Cricetulus griseus: one gene and its partners. The protein of the gene in region 1 interacts with the protein of each later gene in a pairwise test. Links are inferred from orthologs where the notes say so. Each region holds a gene or a part of one and is shown in the gene's direction. Other genes may lie near its edges.

What was found. The genes of interacting proteins can lie anywhere in the genome.
Region 2: the proteins of Cdr2 (region 1) and Hdac4 interact in binary tests that used the Homo sapiens proteins (3 or more experiments, as listed by UniProt). The two-hybrid records come from large-scale screens. The link is inferred for Cricetulus griseus from reciprocal best matches to the Homo sapiens genes CDR2 and HDAC4.
Region 3: the proteins of Cdr2 (region 1) and cysteine-rich hydrophobic domain-containing protein 2 interact in binary tests that used the Homo sapiens proteins (3 or more experiments, as listed by UniProt). The link is inferred for Cricetulus griseus from reciprocal best matches to the Homo sapiens genes CDR2 and CHIC2.
Region 4: the proteins of Cdr2 (region 1) and C1H4orf46 interact in binary tests that used the Homo sapiens proteins (3 or more experiments, as listed by UniProt). The two-hybrid records come from large-scale screens. The link is inferred for Cricetulus griseus from reciprocal best matches to the Homo sapiens genes CDR2 and C4orf46.

Annotation. Positions count from the first base shown.
Region 1 is NC_048596.1:79,675,863-79,679,855, forward strand, and holds the start of Cdr2 (cerebellar degeneration-related protein 2), read left to right. Parts: upstream 1-1,185; 5' UTR 1,186-1,440; coding exon 1,441-1,516; intron 1,517-3,993.
Region 2 is NC_048595.1:443,657,388-443,661,565, reverse strand, and holds the start of Hdac4 (histone deacetylase 4), read left to right. Parts: upstream 1-1,372; 5' UTR 1,373-1,387; coding exon 1,388-1,413; intron 1,414-4,178. UniProt on the Homo sapiens protein: Responsible for the deacetylation of lysine residues on the N-terminal part of the core histones (H2A, H2B, H3 and H4).
Region 3 is NW_023276807.1:141,545,305-141,549,478, reverse strand, and holds the start of cysteine-rich hydrophobic domain-containing protein 2, read left to right. Parts: upstream 1-1,368; 5' UTR 1,369-1,685; coding exon 1,686-1,804; intron 1,805-4,174.
Region 4 is NW_023276806.1:74,581,989-74,586,130, reverse strand, and holds the start of C1H4orf46 (renal cancer differentiation gene 1 protein), read left to right. Parts: upstream 1-1,336; 5' UTR 1,337-1,522; coding exon 1,523-1,699; intron 1,700-3,164; coding exon 3,165-3,320; 3' UTR 3,321-4,142. Other genes in the region: Etfdh (electron transfer flavoprotein-ubiquinone oxidoreductase, mitochondrial), read right to left, coding at 837-870.

The DNA of each region.
Region 1 (3,993 bases):
GCTTAGGGGTAGTGATTGTCTGGCATGTACGAGGCACTAGGTTCATCCTTAGCACTGAAAAAATAAATTAGGATGAAGTTTTCCTTTCTCCAAATTACCCAAGACCTTATTCGTTTATATGGAAAAACAAAAGTAGCTGAGGATCTGTAACTTCTACCTAGCAATTTCTCCTATTTTTAACCATAGTAATTTGTGTACTTTTTTTTTTTTTTTTTTTTTTTTGGATAACTGCTTTCCATCTTAGTTCTGGTGACACTCCGGATGTGTATGAAGGCGTTACTAACTTCAAGAGGTATCTAGCGACTCACTATTGCCAAAGCTAAACGTTGACTTCTCTCCCCTCACTTGTTATAATTCTTCTCGTTTCCTCCTTAGACATTATCTATTAGCTCTAACATCCTAACAGCTGCGCCGACCTTTCTCCGTTTTAGAGTTTTCACGTGAGGCACCCGAAGGTGCTAAAAGCTCAACCCAAGAAACAATTACGTCTGCGTCACCAAGCGGACACTGCCCTGCTGGCCACAAGTGCAATGCCTGCTCCCAGATGTTTACCTTGGGCTCTATGAACGTTTAAAAAATTATGCAAAACTGCTGGCAACTTTTGCCAAGGGAGGCGTTTCCCACGGGCCGGTCCCAGCCTTCGAATGTCAAGTGGTGCTGGTGACCGCCGTTTTAGGAGTTAATTGCCATCCCCCCAAACTCAGACATTCAGGAGCAGCTTAGGCTCAATAGCGTTCTCTCGGCCTTAACCTCGCGACGGACCCTGAATCTCCCTCCGCGCATCACCGAGGGCAAAGCCGAGGAGGGCTGTCCCGCTTTCGAAACCTTCGGTGGGAAAATGATGCCCACTGCCCAGAGCCGGGAGTCCTCCTCAGTTGGGTACAAGACACGCCAGGGAGCCGAGAGGGTCGCCGCAGCCGCCTCCACCAGGCTCCGGAACAGGAGTGTATTCACTGAGAAGACGAGACGCTAACAAAAGGGGCGGGGCTGCCGGCCGCACCCTCTCCGCCTTTACCCGCCTCCTTTGTTCCTTCCTGAGCGTCTATTGGCCAAAGACACTCGGGCCCGCGACCTTCTTTGAGATACTATTGGCTGAAGTCGCTGTCGCTCTACCAGGGACCCATTCGCAATTGGTCAAGGCGCCGCCCGGGTTTGAATCGTCTCCCCGGCCTGGGAGGGCTCTGCCAAAGTGCCACGTTGGGCCGGGCAGCGGGTGTGTGGTGCCGGCTGCGGGCGCCACCCGGGGTGCGCTCTCTAGGGCGCTGGCCGTTGGGCGGCGCGAGGCGGACGCGGGCCGGCGGCGGGAGTTGCGGCGGGGCCGGCGCGTCCCGCCCGAGGGCGGCTCTGGCTGAGGGCGGAGGGGCCGGGGGACAGCCCGGGGCAGCGGCCGAAACGGCACGGTGGCGGCAGAGCCCGCTGCCCCCGGACACCCCCAGCGACATGCTGGCAGATAACCTGGTGGAGGAGTTTGAGATAGAAGATGAACCGTGGTACGACCACCGGGACCTCCAACAAGGTGAGGGCGAGGTCGCCGGGGTTGGGGGGTGGAGGCCCGGCAGGCGACAGGTGTGGAAAGTACTAGAAAGTTCCTTAGGCTGGTGGTCTGGGATGCGCGGCCGGGGGCTCCTCACTCTCACCTGGCAGCGGATCCGCCCATCCCGGCCGCCGGGAGCAAGCGCGCGGCCCTCGGCCCTGCGGATGTGCAACGCTGGCTGATGCTCGGCGCTTTAAGAAAGCGCTTTCTCGGGGGATGAGCGGATCTATCTCCTTCGGGGACCTCTGAGGTGGGCAGGGGTGAACCAGTGTGCCCCGCTCTAGAAGCAAGCTGCTGACTCTGCTTCTGGTCCTGCTGCCCTGCTCGCCCTCATGCGCTTTTCATGGCCCGCAGAGTCTGCAAGCCGCTGCAGGTGGTGGGGGTGCAGTACCGCACAGCAGTGCGGTACCCGCGCCATCACTCTCTGAGAGTGATGTTTTGTTATCCCGTTTCCCAGAAAGCAGAAGCTGAGTTAGGTGGACTCCCTAAAGCCGAATATGGGAGCTAGTATTTTTGATCCCACGCACTCGGGATGAGGAGCCTGTAGACACTGTTCGGACCTTAGCACCCCAGTGTACAACTTACAATTGGGTGTCAAACTGTTTTGTTTTGATATATTACTTTGGCGTCGTTTATCGGGTGCCAAGTGAAATTATGTGAGAAGAGTTCTATTATGCCTTTTTTTTTTCATTCGGATTTTCAATTAGAAATTATCCTGCCTTGGCTTTCTTGATTGTGGCATCTCCTGAGAACAATCTCAGAGTGCCCTCAGTTAGAAGCCAGTGGCCCATTTTCTTGCACAATCGTAGTAGGATTTTTCGCTTGAGGACACTGATAGGCTCTTAACACAATGATGGGCGCCTTTAATTCTCCCAATAACATCATGTGTTGCCATAGGTTACCTCTGGCTCAAGTAGATACTGTTGGGGAAATGAGGTTTTCACTGCAGACTCCAGAGCAAACATTCTTAACCACCATTCAGAGTGATCACCAGGAATTCTTCCAAGCATCCTGTTTGTTCTATTCTAGAGAATTATTTCCACTCTAAACTTGTAGTGAAAATTATCATCTTTGAGTTGGCTATTAAACACGGCTACTTGTTCACAATTCCACTGAGTTTGATAGAAAAGAAAAATGTGGACTTGAATGACCCTTACTTAGAAAAGAGAAAAAGAAAACAGGTACCTCTCTGGACAGGTGGTAATTTGTTATTTATTTCTGTCTGTCTTGATCCCTTAATGTGCAACGACTTAAGCCCAGATGGATACCTGTACTTGTATAATTGAAGCTACCTAGCAGTTACAATGCCGATTTGCTATCACATTTCTCCATGTCCAGAAGACGAATGTGTCACATACTTAGCCTATTTCAGATTTGCCCCATAAGGATTGATGACCTACTTTGATACTTAAGGACTGAAGCAGTCATCATGCGATTGCAACATTCTACTATATGAAAGCAGTTCATATAATCCAAGCAAGAGATTTTGCTTTGCCATATTTAAGAAACATCCAAAATCTTCAAGGGTAGGCTGGTTATACTTGTCTAACATCATATATAACACTTCATAATAGAAATGTGATTTAATAATTGTTGCCCTGAATTGAAGCTCTCTCTCACACAGGATTACTGTTTTCACAGCTTTCCTCTAACCAGTGCCTACTCTAACCTGCTTCCCCAGAAAGTTGTCAGGACAACCAATTTTAATATCCCAATTTACTGAGCAATAAACAAAACACGTTTGGGACTATGTGTGGGATTCTTAACTTCGGATCAAAATGAAGTTGTCACATCTTCATGTTTAGCAAATCCTAATATCTGAACTTATTTACTGTCAATTTCCACTTGGAATTTCTCCTATACTTTCCAAAGCCTTTTACATCTGTTATCACAACAGTAGACTTTGCCATAGCTTAAACAGCATATGGAGTACTAATAGGAGACGTGAAATCCCAGCTGTTAGCTCGTCAGTATGCAGCTGAAAGAATAATGGCTGCTCTTTTGAGCATATTTTCTCCAATTTTGCTAACTTGTATGTTAAATGCTTTTGTGTATTTGGTATTCCAGGATTGTGTGCATGCAACATACCACTGAGCCATTCTAGAACTAAACTTTGAACAGAATTTACAACTGTTTCTCAAGAACATATTGTTTTCTCTATACTAGGTATTTTTGGTTTTTGTTGTTGTTGTTGTTGGGTTATTTTGGTTTTTTTGAGACAAGGTTTCTCTGTAGCTTTGGAACATATCCTGGAACTCATTCTGTAGACCAGGGCTGGTCTTGAACTCAGAGATTCGCTTGTCTCTGCTTCCCGAGCACTGGAATTAAAGGAGTACGCCACCACCACCTGGCTTTATACTAGGTATTCTTATAGGCAGTGGCACCACTATCCTAGCCAGCTATCTGTTAGGAAGGCAGGACTCCACTCGGGGGTTGCTGTTCATGAATCCATTCCCTGG
Region 2 (4,178 bases), on another chromosome or scaffold:
AGTCAAGCCAACTAGGATTTCAGAATTTCCAAGTTGCAGGTGTGAGGAACCCAGGTAAACTAGCACACGAAGCCATCATGCTACTTATTCTGTATAGAGCCCGAGGAGAAATGCAGCAAGAGATGTCTTTGTAGAAGTTTGTACCCAGTCTCAGACTGCAGTTAACAGGATGGCCAAGGTACCCATAAATCAAAGTTACTTACCTTCTCTCTGGCTCTTACAGACAGATCTTTTCATTTGTGTGGTGCCTGGAGCACCCTGGGCCAGCGGGCCTATATGCTAACTGTCTTCTGACCTACCTTGGTCTGTTTTCCCATACCTGTGATGAATGGCTTGGTTCATCGGTCTGCTCATTTCTAGTCATCTTTAGTCTTCTACTTCTGTATCCAGATTTTTTTTTTTTTTTTTTTTTTTTTTTTTTTTTTTTTTTTTTTTGTCTTTCTCTTAGGATCATGGGCCCTGGCCCAGCCTGGCTCTGAAATAGTCTGCGGTAGCACTAGGGACTGTCTTTTGGCCAAGAAGGAACTCCAGAGGCTGGTGTGTGATTTAATGGAAGGCAGGATTTCCAGCTCTAGAGATAGCACTCAGCCATCTTGTGCTATCATAGCAGCCTGTTCCAGACCCTACTAAATTCTTCTCTGACCAGGACCCCATAGGCTCTGCCTCTCTCACATGGAAGGTGACATCTTCTGAAAACCTTTTTTCTGGTAGCAGAGCTCTGAGTAGATGGCACTGAAGCTGATTTTCATCATGCTTTTGGCAGTGCATTAACAAACAACAATAAAAACCCAAGCCAACAAACTCATAATAGATTGTAGCTGCACCTACCTGCAAAAATTTACAGTTAGTTTTTGTGCATTCAGTGTGTGGAGAAGGAGATGTGGATGAAGCAAGAATGGCAGAGTGTTCATAATGATTGAAGTTGGTGTCTTGGGTTTGTTGTACTATTTGCTTTGCGTTGTGTTTGCATCAGGTTCCATAACGTGAAACCTTCCCTTCAGCAAGAGAGACCTATGCAGAAACCACAAGAAACTTAAATTTAAAATTACCTTTATAGATATTTTTTCTACTAAACTTGTATTTTATTTATTTATTTGCTTGCTTGTTTGTTTACAGGGTCTCACTATGTAGCTCAGGCTGGCCTGGAACTGGCTATGCGGACCAGACTGGCCTCTAACTCGCAGAGATCTATCTCCCTCTGCCTCCTATGTGCTGGGATTAAAGGTGAACACCACTAAGATCAGCCCATGTTTTTATTTCTTAGTCATCACATATGGAGATGATAAACAGTTTAGACCCATCAGAATGGAGAAACCCCAAATGGAACATACACCCTGGCATCAAAGCCTCTTTCTGCAGAAGCACAGCCCACGTCCTGAAGTGATGCATGGGCAGCTCTGGAAGAGTGCCTGGGTAAGGTTGGGTGAGCCTTGGAAGACCGAGGACAGAAGCAGTGTTGAGTGCCCAGTGCTGTCTCCTCATGAGCTTGTTTGTCATGTGTAGGGCTTTTGAAACTACTTATGAGTGTATAAGAACATAACCAATATATTGTATATTGTAGAAGCCAGGTTTCTCACTGTTAGAGAAAGGTGTTAAAAGTGAGGAAAGGGTGACTAGCAGAAATCTTGCAGTGGTTAGTTAGCTTGGGACCTAAGGCGTCAGTACTGAGTTGATGTAAACAAATGCTTAACAGAAAAGATGGAAAACATCAGGAAAGCATGAGCAGCTGATTTAATGGAGCTCCAGTAGACAGAGTCAAGTGAATAAGCCAGAGAAAGTTGATAACATTGGATTATTAGCATACTGCAAAGAAGAAATTTTCATCTGTCTTCATTAATGCAAGTGACCAAATGCAAAGATAAGGACCCCTCAGCGTTGAATTTGAACTAACATGTATAAGAGAAGGAAGCCAAGTGCCACCATCAGGCAAACACCCCCCCCCCCCCATGGCAACAGTTGCAGATGGGCCCTCTTGATGTATCTGAGATCCAGAAGATACCCCCTGTTATGTGTCTGTCCTTCCAAATAATTGACATTTAGGTCTTTCAAGGCTCTTGTTGATTTTATGTAAGTCCTTGGCATAAAGTTGTCTATGATGCTATCTTTTGTCCTTTTACTGTTTAGTCTGTAGTTCATCCCCTCTTCTTGATAGCATTTCATCATCGACTGCCTAAAGCTTTGCAATCACATTGATTTACCCCTTTCTTTCTCTCTTTGTTCCTGTACTGTACACTGCTCACTGTATAGTACAGTCTTGAGTTTGCTGTCTTCCTTCCTCAGCCTCCTGAATGACTGGGTTACAGGTGTCCCCCACTTTGCTTGGCCTTCTTCTTTCTTTCCATTTTTTTTTCATGCAATTGATTTCTACTCTTTGCTGTTGTCTCTTTGTTGTTTCTTTGGAGTTTGGTTTGCTCTTGTCTAATTTCTTGAAGTAAAGACTGCCATCACTGAATCAAGAGTGTCTTTTCTAACATGGGGATTCAGTGCTGGACATTTCATATTTTGATATCTTGTGTTGCTGTTTTCATTCATTGCAAAGTGCCTTCCAATTCTTCATTTGTGAAGTGTTTTGTTGTTGTTCATTTATTTTCCTTTTTTGTTGTTGTTGTTTATTTTGAGACAGGGTTCCGTGTAGCCCAGGCTGGTCTCAGACTCTGTGTAGTTGAGGATGGCCTTGAACTGCTGATTCTCTTGCCTCTACTTTCCAAATGCTGGGATCACAGGTGTGTGGCGAACTGAAATGTATTATTTAGTTTGCAAATACTTTGGGTTAAAGATACTTTTCTGTTGTTACTGATTTTTAAATTAATTCCAGTTTAGTAAGATAAGTTTATTTTATGTGACTTGAGTCCTTTTAAACTTAATGGTACTTGTTTTAATGGGCCTAAAGGTGTTCTGTTTCAGTGCTTGCTCTGTGTGTTAAGAAGGTGCTTCCACTGCTTTTGTATAGTGAGTGTTGTGTAAATGTCACTGAGTCACCTTGAGGGCTGTGTGTGTGTGTGTGTGTGTGTGTGTGTGTGTGTGTGTGTGTGAGTGTGTATGTGTGTGTGTGTGAGTGAGTGAGTGTGTGTGTGGTGAGTGTGTGTGTGTTTTCTAGTATTCTGCTAGTTTTCTGCCTGCTTTTGTGACAGTTCCTAAGAATAAGCATTGAGATCCTAGCTGTAATGGTCGATGTGCCCATTTCCTTCATGCTTTTCTTAGTTTTGTTTCTAGTGTAAAGTGTGGTTTTCATTTACTCCTCAGCTTACTGATCCTTCTGCCATTAGGAACTGGGCCTCTGCATCCTATGTGATAACTTGAGCCTAAAGTTTATTTTGTCTGATGCTAATGTCTCCTTCACAGATTGCTCTTGGTTAATGTTTGTTAGTTACTTTTGTCATTGTTGTGACCAAATACTTGACAGCTACAAGGGAGGGGAGATTTATGTTGGTTTATGATTTCAAGAGGGTAGGGAGGGTGTGGCCGAGCAGAACAGGTCAGGTCATGGTGGGCTAGGAAGCAGAAAGATTGGCTGCTGGTGTTAGACTAGCTCTTCCAGTTCCCTCTTTCATTTTCTGGGTCCCTCAGTCTGTGGGATGGTGCTTCCTATATCACGGTGGCTCTTAGTGCTTCTAGAAAGGCCCTCACAGACACACAGAGGGGTTTTCATCTCTTGGGGGTTTTCTAAGTAGAGTCAGTTGGGCAGTGGTGCTTAACCTGCACGGTTTGTGTGATAGATCTTTTCCTATCTTTAGTTTATTTGTGACTTCATAGCCAAGTTCAGCTCTATGAAGGAATGTATTGTGTAGCTTTGTCATCATTGCCATTGTGTGAATATTACACAGGCTAAGGTGACCACATTGTCACATGATGATCCTTTCTAATGTGACCACCCTGTGTTTGCTATATGCAGTCTGTTGTTGACTTGAATGTCATGTGGCATGTGTCTGTATTGAAAATGTGTTCGTGTAGGTTGCACATTGCTGGGCCTCTGTTGCTTAGGGAACACTGATGTTATATAAAATGAGTGACCTTCTGTCTCTAGGCCATTTCCAGTCCTACCTCATGGTGGTTCTTTCTACTTGGTACAAAAAAATTACTGTTTTTTATTAATATGTCTGACAAGCTCTGTCCCTTAGTGGAGTGTCTGGACAATTTGAGAAGGTCGCAGATACAGGTGAGAGTGGGCTCAGTTGTCC
Region 3 (4,174 bases), on another chromosome or scaffold:
TTGTCCAGGGTCACATAGCAAGTGATAGACTGAGATTCAAGGTCAGGTTTCAGAACTATCAATCTAAGCTGCCTCCTACATGTGTGCACCATTGGAGACCTTGGCAGACCCTCTGAACACCTGATAAGAGAAATACAATTGCTTGCCTTAATGACAGATGTTACTGCCAGAGACTATCACACACACACACACAACACACACACACACACACACACACACACACACACACACACACACACACACACACACACACACACACACACTGCTTGCCACATAGCTGGGTCAGTGTTTATTGAATGAATACATCTGGGAAAGTAGGTCGGACATATCAACTATTCTTCCCTTCCTAACTCACTGCCCATTTTCAACTCTTTCCAATATTTAGTTGTTCAGTATTTTTCAACCACCCACATTAACCTTTTACATTTTCTGCCCGAATAAAGACCCATAAGTGAACTTCAAGGATGTAAACACTATATGGAGAACAGTACTGGACACCCCCAGCTCAGTGATAAACTCTCATTACTCCATTGTCCATTTTGTCCTTAGGAGTCCATCTTTGTGCTGTTTGTATGCCTGGCAGACTCTTGATTATGAAACCAAGTCCAAGGTGACCCATCCATTAAGTCAACTGCTCCTCCCTCCCCTTTTCTCCATCTCCTCTTCTCCACCCCCTCCCTTTCTTGTGGAGGAAGCGGGTAAAGTTTTAATGGAAGAGAACAGATTATCTTTCGTGATGGAGTTGAGACATAGAACTGAATTTTCTTAATTGGAACCCGGAGAATCTGTCAACTTTGTTATAAAGTATGATGGCGAGATTTCTCTCTCTGTGTGTCTCTCTCTCTCCTCTCCTCTCTGTCTCTGTCTCTCTCTCATGCTTGAGACTGTACTTGAGAAGCTAAAAGGACAAGATATTTGACTTTGGAGATTTATGGAAAATCAGGTTTAAATGTGGACAAGAACGCACTGTTCTGTTGGTCTCAAGTTGGGAAAGTCAACCAACTTTTGGTTCGCACTAAATACACTGACAAACATTGAGATCAGATGATTAAGCCGGCAGTTCCAGGCAAGAGAGGTTCTCTCTTCCAGCCAGGGGCTTGGTCCGCAGTCGTTGTTTGGGCTAGAGATGAATTCAGCTTGGCTCTCGGAGTCGAGCCAGGGTCATCGCCCCCGTCCCCACAGACGCCGCCTTCCGGGTCGGTGACCCTGGAGCCTGGGGGCGGGGCCGCGCCGGGTAGAAGCCGAGGAAAAGGCCGGCGTCCCGGGAGCGCGCGAGGCCTGCCGCGTGCGCGCGCCCGCCCCACGCTCGCGCCCGTCAGCGCGCCCACGCCAGCCCGCTCGCCGCCCGCCCGCCCGCTCGCCCGCGCTCCCGGGAAGTCTCGCGATGCGGTAGCCGGCTGCTCCTGCTGCGGGTGGCTCTGGCTGTTGCTGTGGTTGCCGGAGTTGCGGGCGGCGGCGGCTGCGGCGGCGCTGGCGGGGGTGGCGGCCCCGGCGGATGTTGACATTGTGTTGTTGTTCCTGCCCACGGTAATGGCGGCGGCGGCGCCCGGGACCGGGTCTCCTCAGTAGCCAGAGCCGACACTGCCGAGCGCCAGCCCCGCGGCCTCCGCGCCCGCAGCCTCGCCAGCCGTTCTCCGCGGCCGCCCCAGAGCCAGGGCCCCGGGCGCGGGGCTCGCAGGCGCGGGATGGCGGATTTCGATGAGATCTACGAGGAGGAGGAGGACGAGGAGCGGGCCCTGGAGGAGCAGCTGCTGAAGTACTCGCCCGACCCGGTGGTGGTCCGCGGCTCCGGTCACGTCACCGTGTAAGGCCCTGCGAGGGCTAGGAGAGGACGGGAGGCGCGGGCTGGGTGGGCCCCGGTACCCCTCGGAGTCGTCCTTCCTTGAACCCCTGTCTCCGGTGACTGGCGCGGGATGGGGGCCTTGTGGAAACGCCAGCGACCAGGAAGTGAGAACTTGCTCTGTTGCCGTTTGTTTAGGACTCCCAAGTGGGGACAGACACTGTCTTCCCTCCCTCCCAAGCCCTGTAGCAGGCCCCACGGCCCTGGGGATGTGTGGGATCCCAGCAGGAAGGATGGTCTGCTTTATGGGCCATCCCTTCTGCCCAGGGATGGAAGTGCATGTGTATTTTTGGGATCCATCCAGGTAAATTGCCCCTCTCCCCCGTTATTCTTTGGGACTGTGCCTTACGGTCTGTTGACATATGGCTCAGAGGTAAGATCAGGGATGTGAGACCCCACTGGCAATTGATAAATAAGGTTCACCGTCTTGTTTTTGACACATACCCACAGGGCTTCAGAGTTCCCTAAGAGTACATTTCTGCAGAACTAATTAAGTCTCTGCCATTATATATAATAGCAATATATAGGTGGACATAAAAATAGGCAGAAAGATACATGTTTGCAACGAATCACAAGTCCTGAGTGTCCTGTAATCGTTCTGCTTAGGGGCACGGACTCTAGGTTGGCTTCTTGTTTGATAAGGGTTCCTGTAAGGCTTATTGGCACCATCAAAAGTCCAATATTCAAACACTACGGGATGAAAGCACCCTGAAAGGTCATGACTAATAAAGGAATGTGTAGACTTGAAGCAAATAATGAGCTGTCCGGAAGGAGGAAGTTTTATAAGTTTTGCAACATTTCTCTGATAAGTCCGGAGTTGGGGTATCGATACTCCTTCGCAGCTGGTATCTCTGGTTAAAAGTCACAGCTCACACTTCCTGTACTTGCATGTCGAGTTATCACTGATATAAAAAGGGGGCGAGCCTGAAGATGTCTGGAGCACTCTTCATTGTGTTTTGATGTAGGGTGAGTGGGATGTGCTGTGAATAAGTCAGTGAAACAGTGAGACTTCTCATCCGATTGTCAGCAGAGCCCTTGCATTTCTCAGTGTTGTTGAGAGCAGTCATACTGACAAGCCATGTTGTTGTTTGGATATGCTTATGTAATGCTTTGGTTTCTTAGCATCTGTTAAGTGTGTATTTAGGTGACTTAACAGGGTAAAAAGACTGCATAATCATTGTCCCAGGACCTGGGATAAGGAGATGGGACTTGCACCATAATAACAGCTCTGTTTTAACTGTCATCACACGCTTAATTAAGGTATATAGCCAATAGTGAATAATACAACTTAAGTGTATATCTCAGTGTTTTTACTATCATAACCTGATATTTAATTTTTAGTTTGACTCTTAGGACTTTTTTCTTCTTGTTTTAAATGTAAAGAAACAAAAAGCCCACGGACTCAGTGGCACTTGTCTAATACCAACACTCAGGAGGCAGAGGCAGGTGGATCTGTGAGTTATAGGCCAGCCAGGGCTGTATAGAGAGACACTGGCTCAAAGGGATTTCCAAACTTTTTCATGTTATCTGTGATTGTCCTTAAAGTCCTCATGTCTAATCAGAGCTGGCAGAATTTTATTTACAAAGGTTCAGCCAGGGCTGGGGAAGAAACTCAGTGGTATAGAGTGCTTGCCCTGGGTTCAGAACAGCACAACAGAAAGAAAGGTTCAAGTACAGTTGTAATGTCTCTTCAAGAAGAAAAGCCAAACACTTTGTTGGGAAGTAGATAGGCAAAGTGCTCTGATGGTCAGTAAATTTAGGTTGTAGCCAACTATTTGGAGTGGTTAACAGAGTGGAAAACAATTATTAGTGGTTTTTCATCTTATCATCTGTTAGAATCACCTGGCATTGAGCTTAATAAGCATTAGCCTCTTTATTGTTATCAGTATTGTAAATAAGTACTGCCATTTGCAAGTCTAACAGTGATTCATTTAGTCTAGTTTGTCTGCCCATTAAAATCATCTGCGGAGCCCCTGCTTTTGCTCCATCCCTTCTCCAGGCCATCAGTCCACACATGAATGAGACTCTGGTGCATGATGGGGTTAGGGGAGGGTCTTGTAGGTGGTTCTGATTTGTAGCCAGAACTGTGCTCCAGACACTGGTGATGGTGGTGTTTGCACACAGTAGCAGCAAGCCTTCATATGTTTGTGATCTTCCTCAGGCACTTCTGGTAGCCTGGTTATAACCGTCTTCCGCTGCTTATATAAATTACCCATCTGTGTCTCTTCAGTTCACGTGATGCTAGCTAGGTTAAGGATTAAGTGAGATAATGTATGCAAAGAGTGCACCAGTGTGTTGCTGTGCTCAGGGAATACTAGCCTTTATTAATTATTA
Region 4 (4,142 bases), on another chromosome or scaffold:
CCAGTTACAACAGAATTCAAGAGCCTCTAAACTTCCGTTTGAATTAGGGGTTGTTTTTAAGTAAAATTAAAAAAAAAAATCCAACCGCTTTAAGAAGCACTCATAATAGAAGCGCCTGGAGTTAACTGAGAATAATGCAGAAAACTTTGGAGCTCCAGACACAACTGGTGACACGGGCAGCACATGGGTTAACACGATATGACAGCTCAGAATTCACATTAAGACTGGACCAGAAGCCGGGCGTTGGTGGCGCACGCCTTTAGTCCCAGCACTTGGGAGGCAGAGGCAGGCTGATCTCTGTAAGTTCGAGGCCAGCCTGGTCTCCAGAGCGAGTGCCAGGATAGGCTCCAAAGCTACACAGAGAAACCCTGTCTCGAAAAACTAATAATAATAATAATAATAATAATAATAATAATAATAATAATAATAATAATAATAATAAAGACTGGACTAGAATGGCTACAAAGACGAAAGTCAGGTCAGAGTCAAGAAGAAATCCCACACAAGTTTTCCTTTCTTTCCCTTTCCTAACAAGGCAGCAGATACTACCTGAGCCTTGGGATAAAGATTAGGACCGGGATTTGGGAGGACTCCACAGAGGAGTGGAGTGTTGACATTTTTCCTGCGCTCATGACCTTTAACCTAGAAGTTAACTTTGCCGACTGGGACAATGTCAAGGACGGGAAGTCAGGGTCCAGCAACAGGCGCTGACAGCATTGATCTCTGCTCCAGTTTAGCCGAAGAAGCAGATAAGGAGAGAGGTGCTTGCAGTTCCCCAGGTATGCCCCAACTTATCCATCTTGATCTGTCTGTCCCCACCAGGAGTTCTGTCTCACCAGGGCAGGACAGCTTGGCTAGCCGCACCAGCATGTTCAAAGTAGCCCGGAGACTTGACAAAGACACACGGAGAGAGGCCTGTCTGCCGCTTGCCGAGGGCGCTGGACTTTCAGGCCACGGGGGGCGCCATCACCTGCCAAGAAGCCCCGACTGCCCGGCTGAAGTCAGTCCCTGGGCTGCGCCGACCGCCCTTGCATCGCGGCGTGCCCGCCTCTCTTCTGCTTTGCGCCGGCGCCGCGGAGGACGCGACGGCCAATAAGGTTTCCGGGTCACGTATCAGCAAAAAAAAAGTCAGAAGACTCCATTTCCCAGCCATCCTCCCTTATCCAGGAACCGAGTGTGCGGAAGAGGTCTACAGGCTCCGCCCCCAGACTGAGCGCACGCGCGTTGCAAGCATAGCGGGGACAATTCGCTCAGCATTCTGGGAGTTGTAGTGTCCAGCTCCAGCGTCCTGCGAGCCGACCGGAAGGTGTGCGCAGGAACGGGGTGACGACTGGCTTCACATCTGATTGGCTGTCTGGGAAAATGAAAAGTCCTTGTGGTACAGGGTTGAGACCTACGAGAAGATGGGGCGGGACCCCGTGTGGGAGGAGGCGGAGCCTATGGGCTTTGGGCGCGAGCTGTTGAAAGGCAGTTGGTGTGGGTTCGGTTACTTGGTCCGGCTCGGCGGCCCCGGCCCAGCCCCATGGCTGACCCCGAGGAATTTCGGGCTTCGCCGCCGCCGCCGCCTCCCTCGTCTCCGTCTTCAGGCGCCTCTTCGTCGTCTCTCAGCATGCCAGTGAGTTTGGGCTGGCGGAGTCCGAGTCGAACCCACGCCCCAACGGTGGACCCTCTGGAGCAAGTGGAGCTGCAGATCGGAGACGTGAGTGTCGCCGGGGCCGGGTCGCAGCTTGTAGCCCGGGTGCTCCTGCCTGCGATTCTTGGCCAGAGAGTTGAGGGCTAGCCTCTGCTCTGTCCGCCCGCTCCTTTCTGACCTTCTCCCGCTGCTGTCCCCTCAGCATCGCCATCGGGGTCAGCTCTCCGCCTCCCGTTGCATCTCTCAGAGTGCTTTGGGCAGTCATAGCATCCTTGCCTGCCCATTGGCTCTTTCGGAGGGACTTGAGCTTGCCACCAGCCTAGAGCCAGCTGGTGATACTATTGTGTGTCGCAGACTCGTTCTGGGTGGGACTTAACGTGGACCAGGGCTAATCACAGCCGGCCGCTGAGGTCATCGGCTTCCCTGATGGATTAGACAGGACGCCTCACTGATTCCGGCAGTGCAAACACTTTGTAAAGTTGTTGTACAATCTCGAATTCCCAGAAATCTCCACCCGACCTCAACACGCGTACCGCTGAGGGGGTTGGAGGGTGTCAGTTTCACTTTCTAGGGACTCTTGAGAGGACGACGAGCCAAATGAAGTATGTAGCAGTTAGCGGGTAACCTTCCTGGGAGAGCTTTTTGGAAGGACAGCCCGGCGAAGATTGGAAACTGGGAACTGAGCTACAAGTTTTTGATTTTTTTAAAGAGATGGCTGAAGTGCTGCTCCAGGGTTTTTGTTTGTTTGTTTGTTTTGTTTTTTTTTGAAACAATACTGGTTACAAATAAATGTGTAGACCAAGTACCTATGTCATGTCCAAAAAAAGTGCTATTTTATATCTCTAATGAAGAAACCATTTGATTTAAAAGTGAGTTTTTCATAGCTGTGTGTGTAATTTTAGATGTTCTGTCAGTTCAGAGTATCAGGTCTTCGATTTCACATCTTTTTGTATTCAAAAAAAAGTATTCATAGGTAAAAATACTGGAACAGTGATTTTGTTACCTAATTATCAGCAAGAGTGGTTTATAAGGAAGTCTTTTAGATGGTTGTCACGTCTAGTCAAGAGCTTTCCAAGTTGCCTTGGTGAAATACATGAGAGTTGGGTGTGTTTTCCTTTAAAAACAATGACTTGCCATGTGTCACGTGCAATGAGTATTTTTATGGCAGATATGTTGCCTCAAGTTACATAATGAAAAAAAAATAAAGGCTATGAGTGTAGCTCAGGGAAAGAACTATGTGCCTGCCCTGCTCTGATGGTTTGGGTTCAAGAAATAGTAGTATTCTTGTTTGAAAATTCTCTCTCTCTCTCTCTCTCTCTCTCTCTCTCTCAAAGAAAAATACATGATCATTTGATTGGAGATTTTAAGCTATTTTTAGACGACGAGAAGTTAAACTTCTCATCTAAATTAGATAGGAATTTAAAAAATAAGCATGTGTGGGATTTAGGGTGTACCCCAATGGTGGAGGCTCTGGGTTTTGTTCCTAGGACCACAAACAAACCCATTTCACTTTTCTTTCTTTAAATTGCAGGCAGCATTTTCATTAACTAAACTTCTTGAAGCCACATCTGCGGTATCCGCTCAGGTGGAAGAGCTTGCCCTGAAATGTACAGAAAATGCACGCTTCCTTAAGACGTGGCGGGACCTCCTGAAAGAAGGCTATGATTCTTTGAAACCCGACAACTGACTTGCAGATGTGGTTGGTTAATGACTCACACATAAGATATTTGCACATGGACCACATTTATGGGGCTGCCTGTCTCTAGACATTTAGACTGAGAATGAAATTTTTCTTGGTATTCTTAACTTCTGAGAGAGCAGAATACTGAAGGCTTGTTTGTTTTCTTTTCTCTGTTAGGTCAGTGTTTACCTTAAATACTTTCTGCCCTCTACACTTTTGCAGACTCCTTTATGGGAGCTAATTCCATCAGTAAGAAATGGATTTTATTAGTGCCTCAGTGCAATCAGATCATTATTTGGTTTTTGAGAAGACGCCAAGGTTGGCTGAGTTTGGAGTTGAGCTTGGTTTGTTCCCTAAAGCAGTTGATGACTTCAGGTAGTGGGTCCAGCTCTAGGACACCAACTCTGAAGCCAGTGATGGCGCTTTATTTACTTCCTTATCTCAGCACCCAAAGCCATGTCACACAATACTCAGTGTCCGTGACTAAGATTTGATAAGTGTAATTAGAAGCTACATTTGCTTCCTATTTTCCAGGATGAAGACTAATTGTTTCTTTGAATCTAAACTTCGTTAGCTTGAAGGAAAAGTATTCTTTTTTTTTTTTTTGTGGGAATTTGAGTTTTTTTCTGTCTTGAGACAATCTCGCTGTGAAGCCCAGGCTTCTTGTCTTAGTCTCTTTGGACGGCAGGACTACTGGTGTTCAATACCATACCCAGTATAGGCTTTTGAATCTTAATGATGACTTTTAAAAAATATTTTTCCCATTCTGTGGTCCCATTTTTAAAAAGCTTTTACTTCATAAAATGGAAACTTTTATAGAATACATAC